4 linked regions of the Schizosaccharomyces pombe genome follow. Changing the gene in region 4 together with the main gene of any one other region gives a genetic interaction. Each region holds a gene or a part of one and is shown on either strand. Other genes may lie near its edges.

Region 1 (4,781 bases), on a different chromosome or scaffold from region 4:
TTTAGAACCTATCGTTGGAATGGCATATCTTTGAATTGTGGTACATTCTGTTATGTTTTGTTTTTTTAAGTTTTCACAAAGTATTCCTTCCGGAAACTCTTCAATTGGATCAACAGGATTATTACCAGTAACTTTAGCTTTTCCCTTAGTAATACCTTGTAATTTTTTTGCTTCTTTTTCTTTTATAGAAGGTTGAGGTACTTTATTCTTAAATTTGACATTAGTTGTCAAAAGTTTCAACGCATCCATTTCCTTATGCAATACTTAATTATCAAAGTTAAAATATTTTAGTAGATATTTCAACGAAGGAACAAAAATAAAAGATTGTTGAAATTTTCAATTATACATATACACGACTAAAGTAAGTATGGTAGCTGCTGGGGAAAGGCTGCACTAACGTCCTCTAGTTAAACCAGTACGTTAATTCAAATTGTGTATTCCAACAGCGTTATTAAATTTATGTATGCTAAGTAAACATAATAAATGTATTCAAAAAAACGCGATTTCTGCGTTTATAGGTTACATATTTTTATATCGTATTTACGAGAAATACTGCTATAGATTTTCTTTCAATTAAATAATTGATTATTTGTATTAATCACTCTTTTACCTATTTGAACAGGACCCTCAAATTAAAGTGAAGCTCAGTAACTTGGTATCCTTTAGATGATCATTAACGTGCGAATGCAAAAAGGATGAATCATGAATGGAAGCACGCGCTGTAAATGAGATAAATCATTTTACAATAGTAGATTGTTTTAGCTGCGCATAAATAAGTAACATAATAGTTTTGTTAGGAAGGAGCAATATATGTTTTTTCCACTTGATTCCATTCGAAAATAATATATAAAATAACTCGTGTTTTTCTATCAAAGTATGATAACGTTGATAAATGCAGTTTGACAGTGAGTGTCATGGATAAAATCATTAACTATCATAACTCGTATCATTAAATAAAGAACGTAACATTAAGACAAGATGTAAATGAAAGTTTCCAAGATTCATTTTTCTCGGGTTAATGCTTCTTCCACAGCATCGAGTATTTCCAAACTCAAATCTTCAGGGTTGATGCCACAACTCATTGCAATAAGACGACGGTAACTATTAACTGTATCATCAATTCCTAGTTCTTCATACAATTTTCTAATATACAAAGTATCTTTTTTGCGGGAAGCTTGGAGAGAAGTTAACTTATTAATTAATTGCTCATATTCATCAGAATTGGTCACGTTGTTGCAAGCCGGCTTTTTAAAATCGTTATTTAACGAAAGTCCGTCTTCCTTTTTTAAAAAGTCGGAAGGAAAACTAATAGATAATGAAGTATGTGGCTTGAGGCTTCTCTCTAAATCAAAGATTTGTCGTGCTTCCAACCATATTAGTAACCTCTTCGAAAGCTGCTGGTAAGTTTCTTGGGCCTCTCGAATCAAGTTTTCCATAGATTGACTATAAGTGGGGTTATTTTTCTGCAGAAAGGTCAATTCCTGATAAGTTCTGGAAATTTCATTAAGCGTGTCTTGCTTGAGACGATTCGCTCTAATCAAATCTTCTTCTTTTTCTCGAAGCTGAGATTCATACTCCTCTGCTAATTGAGAAAATTTCGAAGATATTGAAGGAATTGCCTTAACAAAAGCATGCGATGAGCATGATGGCGAGATAATAGCAGGGCTTATTCCGGAAAATGAAAAAGCACTATGCGAAGCATTTGAGTTTGACTGTAACAATGAATGTGGCTTTTTGTCAGCTTCCAAAAGATACTCGGAAGCTGTACGTCTTTGTCGGTTAGGAATAGAAGGATTGGCGTTATAACTTAATAAAGAGTTTACACAATCCATGGCTCCATTTCGAGCAGCAATTAATAGAGAGGTATCTCCATTTGAATCTTGTAGATTTACCAATCTCACAACATTTTCAAATGGTTGAATCGATATTAGTTTCTCTAATATGCAATCCAAATAGTATTTGGCCGCTGCAACTTTTGAAGGAGTTGAGGTTGATTGCACAATATGATGAAAAATTGACTGACCATTGGTGTCAACAGCATAAATAGTAGACTGGAGAAGCTCAAGCACTTGTCCAAAAGTTTGGCAGTCATAATTATTGGTAAAGATAACACTCCTCATCAATGGTGTTTGACTCAGTCTGTTACACACGCCAATGTCAGCATTGGCTCTCAGTAATAACTTAATCATCTCTATATGTCCCATTGAGCATGCCCAATGAAGAGAAGTGTGGCCATCATCATCAATAACACTGTTAACTTGAAAATCCGGGGGCGGCGAATACAGGAAGGAAGGAATGCGTCCCTCTTCTGGGTGAAGAAAGAAGTCAAGTAGTGACTCTTCATATTTGTCAAGCGGTGCCTCCAACATGCCTAACTCTTCAACAGGTTTTATAGTGTTATCATTTGGTGATAGCAGTGCATTAGGAGACGCTGGCAGAGGTGTTGCAGAAACTTGCTCCTCTGCACCAGGCAAATTCACTTTATTCATAGATGACTCAATTGTTGGTGATATAGAAGAATTCGGTTGTTTTTCATTGACGGAATGCAAAGTGCTACTAGAAAGTGACGACGGTTTACGGCCTCTACGGCCACGTACAGAAGGCTTTTTCTGCTTGGTCTGCTTCTTCTTTGGAGCAATTGCTTTTCCCTCATCAATGTCAAGACTCAATATTGGGCTCATTATTCCGTCAACCTTATACTTTGTGGCCAGGTCGACCCCACGCTGAAATGGAACCCAAGTTCCTATAGTTTGGTTAATACCGTCAATCATTTAGAGGACGCGTCCATAGAGATATTTAATACAAAAAGGTATTAAAATACCTCGATTTGGCTTAGTAAACACTCAATTGTTCGCGTTGTTCAAAGATAGCAAATCATGTCACAACGCGTAACAGTAGACAACTTACCCTGATATTTTCCATATCCACCTTGTACTTTTTCATGCGCACCAATCTGTACTTGTCTTTCTAAAACCCTTGTCCTTTGTGGTTTGTCAAAGTCAGCCACTTTCAAGATTTGTGTAGCATTCAACCAGGAATCGCGGCGTCTGCGCATCACAGAGACACCTTTAATAAAGCATTCATAGACTTCAACCCCAGAATAAACGGCAACATGTACTGCGGAAGAACGTGGAGCCATTACAGCAAAAGGCAGTTAAAATGCGTAGCGCGGACTCTTAAAAGGGTGCATGCATTGCGTTCGCTCACCCTACCTGCGTATACACATAACAATAGGGAAGGGTGGGGCAATACAGAAAATCAACTATGTAGTTACTGAATATATATTAGCACTAATTAAATAATGAGTATTCACTTAATGAAAGGAATCAATGGGAAGTCTCAGTTGCCAAAGAACTACACTTGTAATACTGAATTGCAAAGGAATTTAAATTACCAAAATTTTAGATATGTTATTAAGTAGAAAAAAATCTTATATATATTCCACTCAGAATTCATCTGCATTATGAGCATTTTCCAAGTAACGTATCGTCGTAGTCGCCATCTACAATTTTTGCTATTCTTCTAATTAAATCATAATTAATTTCGTCGTTGACCACGCTGTCTTGCTTATAAGAAGGATGAGTTGTAATGAAATTGCGTATCCACGAAGCAGCAGTCAAGCATTGGCCATTTGCTCTTTGAGAAATTAGGCGAATATAACGTTCAATTAGGCAAATAGTTTTGGCATCAGGATTACAAGAGTATAAATAGCTTCGAACAATGGTAATTAAACCTGGGAATCCGTTTTCACGGTGCTCACCATTAAATAACTCGTCAATTGTAAGTTGACGGAACTGACCAGATTCATCATCAGTACTTGCGTCAGGAAATGGATTGCAACGGAACCAAAACTTTTTACGATGAATGGCATCACGAGCATGAGCAGCTTTCATGTTTTCATCCACTAGCGATATCGGCATGTACAGATTCAAATTGAAGGATAGAATTGCACGAGAAAGCATCACAACAAAAATTGAATATGCCGCATTTTCAAAATCAGTTATTTGAATTTCCATTGATCTAAATTCTACACGCCAACCAATATCACTACCTGGTGGAGGAGGTTTAAAGCGCATAGATTGCCAGTTAGTTGAGTTTAGGTTCTCAAAATGAGCATTGGATACACTGTTGTCTTGTAAAATGCTGTCACTGAAAATAACCAAAGGATCACGAGAGAATATGTGAGCCATGTGCTTAGCCAATCTTTCATCAATGCAATCTTTTATTAGCTTATCGTAGCAATCTTGATTTATAACGACCGGGACGTCATTATATTCCGGTAAATTGCGCTTGTCATTCGAGATATATAAGTCAACAGAATCATACCTTGATTTTGGCACAGTTTTCATTTCTTCCTCGGTTCGATCATCGACAGCACCAGCAATCACATTCCATCTACAATCTTGATCAGCCAAATAGCCTCGAAATGCTGGAGTTCCGGCAGATAATGCCAGCATCAAGGGGGTAATAGGAGTCAACTGATCGTATAAAAGTCTAGCTTCATCACAACTTTTAGCTTGGAATGTAATTTGTAGACAACAGCATCCCATACCGAAACCCATACTGTCCATGTAAATATGATTGTCTAACGCTGCACCATCTCGTGCATTTGCATCTTCAGGAAACAAATTTCTATCCCAAGGAACGGTAGGATCGTGAAATGGTTTAATTGTATTTTTATCGAAGAAAATCGGAACATTCATGGCCACTTTTCTCCCGCGCCTTTGACGAATATTAGCAGTCAAGGTCGGGAAACGAACATGTGTGTTGATAACATCGTC
Region 2 (6,392 bases), on a different chromosome or scaffold from region 4:
CATATACATATGGCTTATCCTTGCTTTGTTTCGCATGAAGAGTAATGGTTTCATATGGAATTTTCCAGCCAGAATTCTGTTCTTCATCAAAAAGGATAAAGCTCTGTGAAGTTACTAATAAAGTTATCAATTTGCCCAAAGGAAAACTTTCCTCATCACTTCTAATTTTATAGGGGACTGTTTTTTCTTCAAAATAAACGATTTCTTGATTTGGCAACAACTTTTCACCATTTTCAACTTTGCGAATTAGGTCCTTTGGAAGTGAGTCAATTTTGGTAATCATAATTACTTCTTGCTTCCAATAGGTATTTAAGCATAAAAATTATTAAAAAACAGTAATAAGGCCACCTCTACCTGATAATTTATTGAAAGAAAAGGTTTACTGTGCGTTGTATTCTTTTGAAGTACTCAAATACAATATCTTCGCATATTAAGCATTTCGCAAAATCGAAAATATATTTCTACTCTTAACCACACGAATTTTTTATAAATTGAACCATTATGCCAAACAGGATATCGATTTTACTCAAATACTTTTGATATGCAATTTTCGTAAATGACAAGCTAGTTATTCATTGCAATTACAAAACAAACTCATGAATATAAATAGTTTTGTGGAAAAAATAAAGGAAAGGTCTAAGGTCTTTATGAAGTAATCCTCGTTACCCAAAAAATTGGGACTCAAAACTTTTGAAATTGGATTTTTTATTTTATATAGTAAACAGATTTATAAGTGTAGCGAAATAAAGCTAAGAATTTTTTAGCAACCAATTCATTGCTATATAAGGTTATACATTGATTTGGATACATGTAATGAATTAGCATCAGTGGATCGTTTCTCTCATAAAGGTGGGTCTTTCTAAAGTATACGAGATTGACTTTCAAACACCAACTTTCCAAATCAAACTTCGAAAGACTTTTTTAAAGCTAGTGACAAGGTTGGAGCAGAAGATTCTCCAAGCCAGTTTTTAGTTAATTAATAGAATGAAAACAAATCGAAAAGTTCAAAAATCAAAATTAGCAAGGCAAGATTCTGGTCATCAGTATATAATTAAATGATGGCAGTATGTGGATGCAAATCCTCCAAGATAATTTTTTAGTGAACAATTTAATCAATAAATTTTCAAAGTAAGATACCATAACATGCATGCAGGGTTTTCTTCAAATATTTTTTAGGACAAAAGTATACTTTAATTTACGCATTGAATTTAAGAATCACTTGTTGCGTAAACTGGAATCGTGGTTGACACTACTTGGCAGCTGTAAATACAGCAAATCGAGTTTGTCAAGTATAGATTTTGTGGCATTCTCCATTGAGTTAGAACTGTTTTCAGGAGATGCAACTTTCATGATATTTCCATGTTGTTTGTACACTTTAGAGGTTGTAAATAAAGAGGGAGTAGCCATTAAACCTTTTTCATCAAATGACAAAGTATAAAGCCAAACAAGACTTTGAAACCAATTATTCATAGGGACACTCCAAATAAAGTAGCGAAAATTGGGAACTCGAGGATGTACATCATTTAGCACAGAGTTAGCTAATAGTTTAACAGCTTCGTCAGTAGTTGATAATTCTTCATTCATTTTCTTGTATACAGGTAGAGAAAACTGAGATATAATGGCTAGAATAGAATCCAATTCAAGTCTTGAATGCCAAGAATTAAACCACGAGTTGGAAGGTGCAAACAAATTTGAGTCAATTTCTAAATCTTTTCCAAACGGATTGGATGCACATTTTTTAATAAGTTCTGAACTAGAAACATTTTCCGGTATTTTCCCACGCAACTTTCTAGACAGAACCAATGGAGAATCTGAGAATACATCTTGAAGGACTGTCGGGACAGAAATCGAAACATTTCTACTCGAAATATGTGATAAGCCACCGCGTGAACTACTGCTACTAAAAGGGGAGGAAAATTTATCTAATTCATCGAAAGGTGAATCATCTTCAACGGTAGCAACTTTTTTAAAGTCAGTATTTTGGAGTGGTGTTCCATCTAAGGAGGTGTTATCGGATGATTTAGATTCAAAATCACTACTTCCTTCCGAATTGAGGGCCACTAAAGGCTGTGATTTAGTCTGAGCAACGGCAGGAAGTTTCATAGAATTAAGATTCAAAAAAACTTGCTGGAGGCGAATAATAGAATAACTGAGATTAGGGTTTTGAGAAAACTTGTTTTCAACTATACTAGAAATAGCCTGTAACAGGTATTCAAGAAGCAGATGATTGCGCGGATTACGAAAAAGAAACCGAGGAGATGAAAGAGATGAACAGAGTTGCATTAATTTGGCACACGTAACGAAACTTAGGTTTTCAACAAATGGTGCAATATTGCATATGGTCAACAATATAACAGGAGATAAACTGCTAAACGGAGATCTCTTCACTGCTGAAATATGAAAGCTAGACTGGAAGGCGTAAGTAATAAAATTAAAATAAACAATTAATCGTGAATCTTACGATAATCAAAAACTCTGCATAAGACATTGGTGGGACTGAGAACCCAAGGGAAGACATCAATGATTGTGCATTCATACAGTTTCTATTTAGTTTTTCACAAAGAACCTTCTCGCATGATAAATAATGAACGATAAAAAGGCAAATGCGAACAAGGCCGGAATGTTCATTGTCTTCACGATATCTAAGTGCATAAAACTGAATAGAAGTTAAAAACTCCGTAGCATAAGGAGAAGTGATCAAAAATGCTCGGAAACGCTGTTTTAAATTAGTTAGCAAATATAATGAACGCGTAACAACATAAATTAAACAACTGTACAAATAATGTAATATATATAAAAGGACCGTTGAACATACTTTATTATATAAAATTGCTTGCCAAAGAAACAAAATAATTTCCGGAAACGCGATATTAGGCTTTTGTACAATTGAAATATAGGCAGAGATAGCGGAAACTGGTGCATTCAATAGCCGATATAGTTCGTTAACTAAAAATTCATAATCAGCTTGTAATTGAAGTCGAGAAAAATATAATCTATACTGATTTTCGATAGCAGCGCCAGGAGAAAGATTGAGTCTCTGTCTGAAGTATTCGACTGTTGTTTCATGAGGGGTGTGATCTAAAAAAAGCAAAAGGATTTGAGAAGTAAGTTTTGAGAGTGCAATGCTAGAATCATTATAAGGTACTAGAGTTGAATACGAAGCCTTCCAGCTATCAGGTCTAAGTCGCAAAGTCTAAAAACTAAGTTAGTTGTACAACAAAAAAAGGTAAATTTTAAGCCAAAACTTACAGTATTTATAAGGGAATAAAGAAAAACTAGTATAAGCTGCTTATTTGCTACACAGGTCAAATAAGTAAGGGTGTGAGAAGCTACTTCAGAAGATCGATACAGCCTTTTAGAAATCAATACTAACAGCAAACGAAGAACCTCAATGCGATTAAACGCAAGTTCCTTTGTGGTTTTCTCTTGGGTTTCTGTTGTACCAATTCCATTTTCCCTGCAAAAGTGATTAGTTAACACATTGCATTTAACCAAATATAAAAAAGCAAACGAAAAACAAAAAAAAAATATATATATATATACATATATACTTACCATATAATGTATGCATATTGCTCAGGACTTGAAAGAGGAAGCGTAAAGCCTCTGCAAAAAAGCAAACGAAAGACGGTGTCCAGCAATTCCTCCATTAAAGTTTTTTCATGAGTAAAAGTTTCTTCAATAGAGCCAATTTCTTTGATTGTGCTAGAACCACCTACTGATACGTCAGCGGCAGAGACGTCTGAAGAAGCATCAAGGGAGATGGAAGAAGCAGGAAAGGTGCTCACAGGAGATAATGGGACTGAAGGAGACTTCTGCGAGAATTCGTTCTTTTGGGAGATGGAATTTTCAAAATCTAGATCGTCTTGAAAATTACTAAGGTCTAATTCGGAATTTTCCTTTGGTAAATTTCTCTTCTTTCTAAGGCTCCACCAAAACTTTTGATGCCATTCTTCTAAATCGAGTTTCTCATTCAAAAAAGGAATGATTCTAGTAAGTAGGCGAATGCAGTTTAACGCTTCACTCGCTGGTGCCGTTTCAGGATTTGGAAACTTTTTGTCATTTTTCAACGCAAACAAACGAGATGTCAATACAAGCAGCAATTTTTCAAGGTTTACAAAGGCATGATCCCTCATCTCACGAATGAGACCTGGGGGAAAAAAATCGTAAACTTCTGGACAACTTTCAGGTACACTCCAAAGCTAATAAACATAAAAACGAATACATTAGTAAAAGCGTCTTACACAAGTTAATAAAAAAAATTTCATACAGAAACCCAAACTTCATCATCCAACGGTATATCCTACTAGAATTAGCTTGCAATGTTCTCTTAGCGTATCATCCACCCATAAACACAAACCGTACCGGTTGAGAAGCTAATCTTGCAATTCCTCGCTGAAATGCCAATCTAAACAGTTAGCTCATACGAAAATTTCGCAATGTTACTTACTTTGACTCTTGGCCTCCCATATTCTCTAATTAGATGCGAAAACCGTAAAGTGCTCTTGACAAACGCTGCAGCTTCATCGATAATCGTTAGGTACTAGTAGACCCGTCCATGTGTATACTTTATTCGCGCGCTAAGTTTCCAAAAGATGCATTATTTCATATTGCGAAATTTTATTATTGCTCGAGTTAATTTGTTAGCTCTACCGTACATTTAATGATCGTTAGCATTACGACGAATTTTCACATTTACAGTCAATGCACTATGACTCACTATTTGGTAAACACTTTTTAGCAAACTGCAATTTGTTAGGAGGCAGGGTAAGGAAAACAATTGATTACCATCACGAAATGAGAATTAAGGAAGAAATACAGCTTGTCAAAGAGACTTCAGCTACCTGCTGAACTGCATTTAAATGTTTGTGAGTTTTTGGTTTCTACTCGTTATCTCATAATTACCGTGCCATCAGATAAACCTCAAAGGTTTCTCAGTTATAAAAAAAACAAGGAAACTGTATAGCTGTAAACAATTCATCTACTGTATAACTCACGCGGCAAAACCACATGAGACATCTGTCGAAGCAAACAATGATATATTTACATGTTCAGTAGATGAATCGCTAGACTATGCCGTGATATGTTAGAGTTCCTTATATTATATACAATGAAGTACATTATAAATGGCTGTATTCAAATTTTAGCTATTTCTGTAAAATAAACAAAGCAGCTATCTATTTTGAAGTGAGATTTTTTTCCAATTTATAATAATTTCAATTATAAAAGGTGCTCTTTTTCTACTCTCAATGTACTTGAAATGTCATATATGTATTTGATATCGTCAAAATTGTCAATAGCAAGATAACTAAATAAATGAGATGATAAAGATCTTATTAATTAACTTGGTAGATGATTTTTCCTACTTTTTCCTTTAATCCTATAGCTGATTAACAGGTAATTATTAACAAAAAAATGACTTTTCTTCCATTCTTCTGATTGTTTCAACTCCACTCTGTTATTATGTATCTATTCTCTTTTCTTATCGGTATACCGATTTACGTTAGAAAATGGTAAACAGTATAACGAGAAACCCTCGGTTTCGGTTCATATCTGTATAAAATTAGCAGATTAGCGAAAAATGCTGGAAAGAAAATTAATCAAGGTCAGACATGAACTTGAATTCCTTATCTATAATCTAATTTGTACTTAAATAGAATCCTTTTTTTTCGGTCAACTTCGTACTGCGTTCGAATTTTTCTGGTTTGGATTTTTAGTGTTTTGCAAACATACCTTTACCATACACTAATACCCTAAAAATCACTTCGACACCAACTTACCACGAACCAAGTTCGACAATTTTCACCACCGGTTTTGGGAAAATGTCAGTTAGTGTTGCATTAAAAGCAAAGCCCATTGCTTATGGTGCAGTTGCATGTGCAAATTATGTGAATCTGTCTGGTGCAGGAAGCATTTCCGTCAAGTATGAGGACGTTGCTTTATTAGACAAACAAAACAAGGAATCGAACGTCTCCATTCAGCTTAACGGCTCTGATTCTCCTGTATTCGGTTCCAAGTTGGCTTTACAGACTTTCTCTCAAGTCTATCCTAAACTTTTCATTGGCGAAAACGATCGTTCTTTGGTTGAGAGTTGGGTGGAAACTGCCTCTGCCTTAGCTGGTAACCACAACTTTCTTGAGCTTTCTTCACTTCTTGCTCAGTTAGACGACCATTTAATTATGCGCTCTCTTTTTGTGGGTTATTCCCTCACCTCTGCTGATTTTTCTATTTGGGGTGCCTTAAAATCAAACAACATGGCAGCTGGTGCCGTACGCACTGGCCAGTATTTCAACCTTGCTCGTTGGTACAAGTTTATGGATTCTCAAAATGCCGTGAGTGTCACCATGGAAGAATTCACCAAGGCAGTTAATATTAGCAAAAAACAAAAATCT
Region 3 (4,692 bases), 2.3 Mb from region 4:
ATTTCGCTTCCACTGCCGAGGAACTTGTACTGCTTCCATAGGAACAAAGCGAATTGAGTCATGATCATTATCAAAAATCCTAGAATCCAAAGTTTCCTTTGAAATGGCAGAATTGTTTGTCGAGCTCTGAAAAATGCGATCTCCGAACGGTCGAATAAAAGATGCAAAATCGTCAAATCCTTTACGCTTCATGAAATTTTCTGTGTCATCAGATGCCATAATAAATATGTGCGGACAATATGTGTCACTGATCAGCTGTCGAAGCTTTAGCCCAAACGCATTGTTGCTCACCGATGACGGTGTTACATGAAGAGAACTTTGAGATGCATTAGGAGCAATTTCAGAAAGGCTCCTGGTTATAAAATTTGTTGCAATGTCCATAAGGATGTGTTAACGGTATAGAGGATAAAAATTCCAAACGTAGTATATGATTGTAGCAGGTCGTCGCAAATTTAATAAAATTTTGCATAGAGAAGCCAACCTATGCAAATTAAGGATTTATTACAATGTGTCATTACAAATTATTGGAAAAAATCCCCGAAAATTCCAAAATATTATGCAAAAGAAAGAGATGCAACTGCGAACCGGCCTGTTTAGTAAAGAAACATCGTATCGTTAAAGTAATTTAAGGAGACATACAGGTTGAATGGGTATAAAATTGTAAACAAGGTTGATGAGAAGACGCCTATAATTAAACAAGGTATCAAGAAAGAAGTTGCGTTTCCTGAGTCACAGAATCCTTTTTCGATTGCTGTTGATCGTCTGGCAAAATTTCAGTTTTAGTTTCATTACTGAACTGATCAGAGGAGCTTCTGCTTCCCCTAGTAACATTTTTCTTTAAGATTTTGTGAGGGAATTTAGCAAGCGATTGATTGAAATCGGCAATATCCCGTTGCTTCTGAGCATATCGAAGAGCATAAATAATTTGTTCTTTATCTTGTAATTCATCTCTTAGATCTGCAATTTCGAAATTATGGTCAGAAAGCAATTCCTCCATTCGTAAACGAGCTCTACTTATAGCAGTTCCTTGCGAACGCTCTGCCTCTAACATGGCAATGTATGTATCTCGTTCCTCTAAGTCCGAAGTCAATTGCTTCACCAAAGAAGCATAATATTCAACTTCTTGGGCATTCTTTTCAAGGGCAGAGTGTAAAGATGCTAATTCAGCTTGAACATTAGTCACAGCTTCCGCTTGGCGAATATCTTGAGGCAAATTTTGAGCTCTAGATGCAAATTTAAGCGTGTTAGTAGTCTCCATCGTATGGTTGGATTCTATGCTTATCGTTGCTAAAAGTGATATTTGTGATTGGCCGGATAAAGATTGCTGCAACAGACGAGTTAACTTAGACTCACGATACGGTATATGTCCTGAATTTGAGGTAAGTGAAGGATTTGCAGCTGCTGACAACCTAGAAATAACAGTTCCTAATGTTAAAAGAGATTTGTTGATAAATGCTCCTTCTTTGCGTCTTTCATGGTGAGCTGAAGCTCTTTCACTTCCAGCGAGATCCACCAAGCTGAGACTCGAAATTTGTGAAGTGTGAGCAGTAGGATTATTTCGAATAAGAAAAACCTGAAGAATTGCATGCGAACGAGAACTATACGTATTGAAATCGGTTGCTGCTGTTTTTCGGATTGCATTGCACTGTTCAATAACCTGACTAACCTCTTCGGGGCTAGTGACGAGAACTCGAGTTAATGGTGTAACATTGACTTCTCCAGATGCATTTTCGCGTATTCTTGGCTCTTCGTCCGAGTTTCCGATTAAGTCTCGTATTCTCTCATTATAAATTTCTAAATAGGATATACGGATTTGAAAGGTATCGTCATCAGAATTGTTTTCAACCATTTCAAATAAATCATTCATGGCAAGTGGAATAATACCAGGTTCGTTTTCCGTACCTTGCATAGAATATGTTTTTCCTGTGCCGGTCATTCCATAAGCAAACACTATTCCATTATATCCGGAAAAAACATTACGGACAACCGACTTAACAGAACGTTTGTATATATCGTAATTTTTAGATTCCATCCCAAAAACATTATTAAAAAGATATTCTTGCTGAATTGTGGACGAGCTTGTACTTGTTTGCTGGCGAATGTATTCACGACCATATGGGTCATTGCTTAACTTGCCATGTGACCATACACCTTGGTTTTTACCAATAGGTCGAATACGTATACTTGTGATAATTCCTGAACCAACAAAGTTGCTCTCTTTTAAACCTTTAGAATTGGTTTGTTGACTTGTTGTAGATTCATAATTAACATACTCATTTTTTAAATAATCCAAGTCCTTCGACGGATACAAGGCAGGACGCGTGTATCTATCTAAAGTTCCAGGAGACATCAATTTCTCTGTAACTCCCAAATCAAATGCTGTAGGCCCATTTACATTTGTTTGAGTGCTATTGCTTCGTAGCATAGGTATGGAATAGTTCGAAAAATTTCGGGACAATGGTGACGTTGGGGAATATGGAATACTCCCTGTTCCACTCTGAGATGGACCAGTCCGTATGCCAGTCATTGTAGAATAGCGGCGAGGTGTAACCAACCCAGTATTCACGGGTTTTGAGGAAGATGAACTCATTTCATGAAGTAGAAAAATAACAGGTTAGAAAATGAACGTGCTTATATAAAATAAAAAGAATAGAAAAATTTCCATTAAGTGGTGGTCAAATTTACTCAGTTTTGAAATCTTTCAACAAGCTAGTGAAATGTATTAGAATTTGTCAGACATAAACTACCTTCACCATTCACTTCATTCGCACATTAAGGAATCTCAAGACACTTCGGCATACTTACCTCGTTACGATGGTAGTAACCATTATAACGAATAACCAGTAAACTATGACAAGTTTATATTACTAATAACCGGATAAAGTAAATTTCATTAATATATAGCATAATGTAAATTGATTTATATTTCCTTTTTGAGTAATGTTAACAAAAAACTAGCTCTTTTGCCTATAACCCTCTAAGATTAACACACCCTGTTATGCCGTTTTCTAGATGTAGTTACTTCTTTTTTATTTAACCGAGCTGAATTTCTCAATATTAAATCCTTAAAATCTGGCAAAGATGAAAAAAATATTAATGTATAGTAAAGGTAAATAAGTTGCTCTGGATAAATTGGCTGAACACTGGAAGTCCGAGGCTATAGGTTTCAAGCTGTCTATAATTTCGATTCGTCCAATCTGTGTTAAAAACTTGGTTTTAGTCGTTCACTGTTGTTTGCGTTGTCTGTCGGAGACCCTTTTCGTCCTCTTCAACAGGTAGCTGGCTTTCGTAAAATTTTCGTAACTCTTGTTGTCGCTTTAGGTCTTCAAACCTTTCTTTTTTAATTCTTTTCCTTTCATCATCTTTTTGAACTCCCGCCGACATTTTCTATACTTACATTAGCTATGGTGCATATTTTCTTTAATATAAGTAAATATTACCTCTCGTTCAATAATCTGATTATTATGTACGAAATAAACCATGTAAACACTAAAGACACCGGCCCCGACGATACAAAGTTTTGAGGCAGTAGACATTGGCAATAATTCTAGTTAAATTTAATATAATGTATACGATAGACTTTTGTAGCCGAGTAAAGATATACTCTTAGGTAAATTAGGAGGTTAGCAGTCGAAACTTACGTAAATGCCAATCGCCGACGTTAAAAAAATTGCTCAAAAAAACAACAATTTTACTACATGTCAAAATACTTTTTAAAATATAACAGATCTTAGTTCATAAAAATTAGAAAGAGTATAGGAAAAATAATAAATTATTCATACATGCCTATTAATGTTTTTTAAAGACTGCTAATACTAATTTAGTAAATTTATTAGAGCCATTGGCATTAAATGTTGCAAATTCCAGGAATTAACCGGTTCTCAAAGGTATTACAACTTGATACAAATAAATGGAACTTCAACGTCTTCACCGTTGGCATCATCACAGCAAATTTCAAGCACCAAGTGTTTCCGGAAAGGTTCTAGTTTTTTCTTAGTAATTTGCTCAACCAATTCAGAAATTTTGAGAGGCAACCTTTCAGCAAGTTTCTTAGGTGGTTGGAAATTAGCATACAAAAGAGAAACTCCAGATGAAAGCATGGTCACTTCCAACCCCTCTTCTTTTTGGAAATAATCAATAAGCTCTTGAAGTGTGCAGTCCGGGAGATTGTAGCGATCCCAGATTTTGTCGATTTCTTTACCATTGACTTTCATTTTCGGAGAAGCAATAGGATCAGAAAATGTAAAGAGCCCTATAGCAAGGTTGAAAAATCCATTTTTATATTCCTCGATCTTCTTTTTGCCATCAACAAGTTTAACAAGCTCAAGACATACAAGTCCTGAAACGACAGCAGTTGATGTACACATGGCTGGTACAATTTTACCGGCAACAAACTTCGTCTTAAACCTATCCGCAGGTGTGATGTCGTAATTCATGGCACGCAAATTTGATGCAGCCGTTATAAAGTCAATGTGATGATTAGAGTCATCGTCCTTTTCAAATTCTGCCGGAGTTAGTCTAAAACCCACAAGAGAGGATGGAGGTGGTAGACTGTCAGCAATCGATTTCAGTTCTTGTTTATCTTTATTAGCAGCGGTTTCGGGAGCTTCTTCATTTTCATTGACTTGAATTTTAATACCAGACTTGGGAGCAAAGGGAGGAGGATTGTAGCCAGCAAGAACGCGTTCGTAA
Region 4 (4,355 bases):
CGAGCTTTTGCGACGTTTCTTTTTTTCCCTTTTCGCTGATGGCGGATTGGGGCTAGAAACGATTTTGTCAGGAGAGGGTTGAGGTTGAGAAACTGGTTCAACATTGCTTGTAGGTACTGTTGAACGGGTGTGCTTTCGCTTCGGTTTCTTAGCATGCTGTTCTTTAATGTCAGGAGTGGCTCTAGAAGCTTGAGCCAATGGTCTGGTTTCTGAAAAGTCTATCAAATCTTTTTTAGTGGGAGAGGATAAGTCTTCTGAAGGTTTAGTAGAAGTTTCCTCAGCCGTAACTCGACTATCAGCAACTGACGCATTTTCTTTAGAAGCATTATAAGCAGCCATTTCTTCTTCGTAGGCTTCTCGAAGTTTAGAAGCTTCTTCTTCGTAAGTTTTCCGATCATCTTCAGATAGCGAGCCCCACTTTTCATGCATCGCTTTATTCACCTCTTTAACATCGTTACTCTTCTCGCCCAAAGACTCCTTGATTTCCGATCGTTGGTTCTTCTGAAAGAGATTATAGGCTGATGGAGGGCGCTTTGGTTGTGCAGGATCCCTAGCCTTGCGCTTGTTTGGGGTCATGGAGGCTACAGCTTCCGACGTATCGACTGCGGAGGTTGCCTCAACAGGAGCTACTGCTGCAGGAGTAGCTTTCTTAGGTGAAGTTGCTTTTTTAGAAGGAGACTCAATTGCCATATTAATCTCTTTCTTCGCATTTGATGGATCAGTGACGGCTGGCTTAAAAGGTTTCGAAACCTCGGACTTCTCTCCTAATATCGAAGGAAGTGATTCTTCGATCTCACGGCATGCGGTTAAAGCTAACTGAAAAGCTTCCGCCAACCTTGTGAAAGAACCAGAAATCTAAGACGGCAATTTGTTAGATAAAAACCAAAAACCAAGCGGATAACTAAAGAAAATTTTGCATTTAATCATCAAACTTTTCAACCAATTAAAAAAGATTATTTTTAGTAAATACTTGATTTAAATCAATTTTTTGAATCATAAAACATTATGTTGGTTCAAAACACCAAAACTCTTTAAAATATCACATACCTTTTCCAGTTGGGTTGAGTTTTGAGCCATCGTACTACTTAAAAAATATTCAAAGTTTCTAATACAACTAAAGCTTCAATACGATGGCAAATACAGGAAATGGTGGCTGACCTACCGGGGTGATGGCGGGAATTTAAATCTTAGCGGTTATGACGGTGGGTGGTTGGTTAATGCTGGAAATGCGAAGCAGATGAAATTGCTTCAGTTAAACCCACCAGTTCGGTTGAGCTTTCTTCACATTTTATTATTATTACAGTTTATAGTTATTTAATATATGTGACAATTGTTATTGTTGAAATTACGATGGTTCAGTGAGATATTTCTTCATGTGATTCTGTTGAGTGATATAATGAAAATTACAAAAGACAATTGTAGTAAATTAAATATATAATAGGAAAATATGAGAAAATCTACAACCGAGAAAAATTTTTTTTTTTTTTTTTTTTTTTTTTCTTTTTCTAATCTCAATCCACTAAATTTGCTGAGACTTACAGTCAAATAATGTCCCATAAATGGAAAGAATAGCAATAAAAACATCCAAAATTTAAAAAAAAAAAATGATAAAACATTTTCTTGTAAATATTTACCTCTTAATTAAGTATAAACAAATCCTATTCCATTGACTCGTAGATCTATTTCATGATATCTTGTGAAGCTGCAACTCTGTTTATCTAGTTCTTGCGCTAGACCAATTGGTTTAGAAACTATTAAATTTAAGATAAATTTAATTTTAAACAAACCAAAGATCACTTATAGTGTTCAAAATACTTCGCAAAGCATATTGCTTTTGCGATGGATTCACTATGAATAAAATATATTGCTGTTTAATTTGGTTTGAGATATCATATTCGTAGCAATTCAACGCTGTTCTTGATTAATATTTCTGAGCACCGTTATAACAATGTAACAAGTGGTATACTAGACTTCGCTAAAAGTACGCCATCATCGAAATCCGGTATAAAAAATCACCACCTCAGTAATGAATTTTTTCGGGGGAGAGAGACATATGTAAATGTTGTATTGTTCACGATTTAAATTTTTTTGGGATGTCCTCCGAACAACAAAATGAAGCTGATTCGAAACCCGCGGTGATTCCTCAATGTTTTAAAATTGAAAATCAATACGAGACCTTTTCCCGTCTGAGTGAAACGTCAACTCCTGGTGTTGTACCGTCTGTGTCGACATTATGGCGGCTTCTGTTTGAGCTGCAAAAAATGATTGAGTGTGAACCGTCTTGTGTAGAATATTTTCGCCAGCGCAAAGAAGAGTTAGAGTCTCATGTCGATTCTGAAATAGAAACCTCAAAAGACGAATCGTCGGTTAATAAAGTGGAAGAAAAAGTAGAAGAATTTAAAGAAGACAACGTTGAACAAGAAATAAAGCAAAAGCGTTCTCTTTCCGAAAGTCCACAAGAGTCTATGCTAGAAAAAGTTTCCAAGAAGCCCAAAGTTTCAGAGGCCCATAATGAAGAAATCAGTCCCGAAAATGTGGAAACAATTGAGAATGAATTAGATTTACCGGTTAAGGGTAAAGATGAACAGACAACTGGGTTGGTATATAAAAACGCAAACGATCTTCTAACCGGTTCATTACTATCTTTCATTGTTGACGATTCCTTCTCTTATGAACAAAAAAAGAAGCTTTTATGTGTAGATTCCTTTCCAACCAGTGATGTACGATCGTTGGTGGCAGGAACTCCGGCGACTGATGATTTTTCTCACAACAAGCCAAATAACCAGATTTCAATATCAACCTTTTATTCGTCACTTGACCCATATTTTCGTGCTTTCAATGATGATGATATTGCTTTTTTAAAAAAAGGATTTGACGTTTCGTCTTCCTATAATATTCCTCCTTTGGGGGAACGCTATTACGATTTAACTCCGGAAGATGAAATGACCAACCTGTGTGCTAACTCAATTTACCAAAACCTGCAAACCTCTGCTCAAGGATCCCTTGAAGCTTTTAATGAGGCAGATACCGTCTCTGAGGAAGTTAGGTGTGGTCCACTCACTGAACGACTAATGGCTTCATTAATTCCTTGCTACACGCAGAATGATGAGGAGCAAAAACCTTCTATTGCTGTTGGCGAATTTGCGGAAACCGATTCTGGATCCGAGAAAAGCAAAATTGGTACAAGCATTGATGGAATCGAGTCAGGAAATAATGAATATACAGAACAACCGGATATACAAGAGTCGAGTCTTTCAATTTGTGAGGACCGCCTTCGTTACACCCTAAAACAACTAGGTATACTTTATGATGGCGATGTAGATTGGTCAAAGCGACAGGATGATGAAATTTCAGCTACCTTAAGGAGTTTGAATGCTCGTTTGAAGGTAGTTTCTGATGAAAACGAAAAAATGAGGAATGCGCTGTTACAGATGCTTCCTGAGGAAATGGCATTTCAAGAATTCCAAAATGTGATGGATGATCTAGATAAACAAATCGAACAAGCGTATGTCAAACGTAACAGAAGTTTGAAGGTTAAAAAGAAACGTATTGTTACTGATAAAATTGGCTCTTCAGCTACGAGCGGCTCTTTTCCTGTCATCAAATCATTGATGGACAAGCGCTCAATGTGGTTAGAAAAGCTTCAACCTTTATTTCAGGATAAGCTTACGCAACACCTTGGTTCGCCAACTTCTATTTTTAATGATTTATCGGACCACACTACATCTAATTACAGTACATCTGTATGAAGCGTTTAAAATTTGAAAGTGTATATACTGTAATTCTATCATTGTGATCTAATTTAATTGCTTGCTTTAGTGAATAAAATTTGCATGAAATAATAATAATACTTTTAACCGTAGAATAGATTGATGTGCTCACTAAAATATGATAGGAAGATTACTTAAATGCACTTATAAACATGATTCATGAAGAAAACAAAAAGGCCAAAAAGAAGAATGATTGATAGATAAAATACGTCCATCACTTTTTGAAGCAAAACACCTAAAGTAAAATTTTAAATCCATTCAAACTCACCATTCGCCTTGAAAAATAAGTAATCTTTTCCATTAACGCCAACTACGCCATCTCTGAACACACATTTCCATTTATTTTTGTGGTGGTTCACTTTGTCATAAAGACAAAGAACGATAGCCTGTCCAATATCAGAACCTTCTTCAGTTTCGGGAGCCTCATCTGAATCAGGATCGTCTAAATCTGAGTTAATTGCTTCGTCAGAAGGCGTATCAACAGGTGGCTTTTTTTCATCTTCGTTATCTTCTATAGTGCCGTCAATTTGCAAAATGCGATTCTTTTTCAAAACTTCATAAATTTCAGCATCAGCTTTCTGTGCA

Evidence for each region.
Region 1: mutations in ngg1 (region 4) and res2 impair growth when combined (synthetic growth defect), as found in Schizosaccharomyces pombe (2 studies listed by BioGRID, with this or other methods).
Region 2: mutations in ngg1 (region 4) and ftp105 together harm fitness more than expected from each alone (negative genetic interaction), as found in Schizosaccharomyces pombe (2 studies listed by BioGRID).
Region 3: mutations in ngg1 (region 4) and tea2 together harm fitness more than expected from each alone (negative genetic interaction), as found in Schizosaccharomyces pombe (2 studies listed by BioGRID).

The regions. Positions count from the first base shown.
Region 1 is NC_003424.3:684,951-689,731, reverse strand, and holds res2 (MBF transcription factor complex subunit Res2), read right to left. Parts: upstream 3,198-4,781; 5' UTR 3,140-3,197; coding exon 2,908-3,139; exon of another isoform or gene 2,744-2,907; coding exon 1,002-2,743; 3' UTR 553-1,001; downstream 1-552. Other genes in the region: ATP-dependent RNA helicase Rok1, read right to left, coding at 1-249; glutamate-cysteine ligase Gcs1, read right to left, coding at 3,462-4,781.
Region 2 is NC_003424.3:1,784,516-1,790,907, reverse strand, and holds ftp105 (Ubp5 interacting protein Ftp10), read right to left. Parts: upstream 4,539-6,392; 5' UTR 4,471-4,538; coding exon 4,451-4,470; exon of another isoform or gene 4,409-4,450; coding exon 4,366-4,408; exon of another isoform or gene 4,304-4,365; coding exon 4,271-4,303; exon of another isoform or gene 4,203-4,270; coding exon 3,556-4,202; intron 3,458-3,555; coding exon 3,250-3,457; intron 3,194-3,249; coding exon 2,816-3,193; intron 2,717-2,815; coding exon 2,462-2,716; exon of another isoform or gene 2,410-2,461; coding exon 1,216-2,409; 3' UTR 553-1,215; downstream 1-552. Other genes in the region: protein saf5, read right to left, coding at 1-283; gus1 (glutamate-tRNA ligase), read left to right, coding at 5,823-6,392. UniProt on the Schizosaccharomyces pombe protein: Required for the localization of ubp5 to the Golgi apparatus. Involved in detoxification of cadmium ion.
Region 3 is NC_003423.3:3,891,099-3,895,790, reverse strand, and holds tea2 (kinesin family plus-end directed microtubule motor Tea2), read right to left. Parts: upstream 2,735-4,692; 5' UTR 2,591-2,734; coding exon 704-2,590; 3' UTR 535-703; downstream 1-534. Other genes in the region: trs8501 (TRAPP complex subunit Trs85), read right to left, coding at 1-381; Pet117 cytochrome c oxidase assemby protein, read right to left, coding at 3,217-3,387, 3,441-3,536; uba1 (ubiquitin-activating enzyme E1), read right to left, coding at 3,891-4,692. UniProt on the Schizosaccharomyces pombe protein: Promotes microtubule growth, possibly through interactions with the microtubule end, and is important for establishing and maintaining polarized growth along the long axis of the cell.
Region 4 is NC_003423.3:1,586,081-1,590,435, reverse strand, and holds ngg1 (SAGA complex subunit Ngg1/Ada3), read left to right. Parts: upstream 1-2,037; 5' UTR 2,038-2,093; coding exon 2,094-3,749; 3' UTR 3,750-3,844; downstream 3,845-4,355. Other genes in the region: upstream binding transcription factor, RNA polymerase I specific, Hmo1, read right to left, coding at 1-855, 1,048-1,077; transcription factor TFIIA complex large subunit Toa1, read right to left, coding at 4,019-4,355. UniProt on the Schizosaccharomyces pombe protein: Component of the transcription coactivator SAGA complex. SAGA acts as a general cofactor required for essentially all RNA polymerase II transcription. At the promoters, SAGA is required for transcription pre-initiation complex (PIC) recruitment.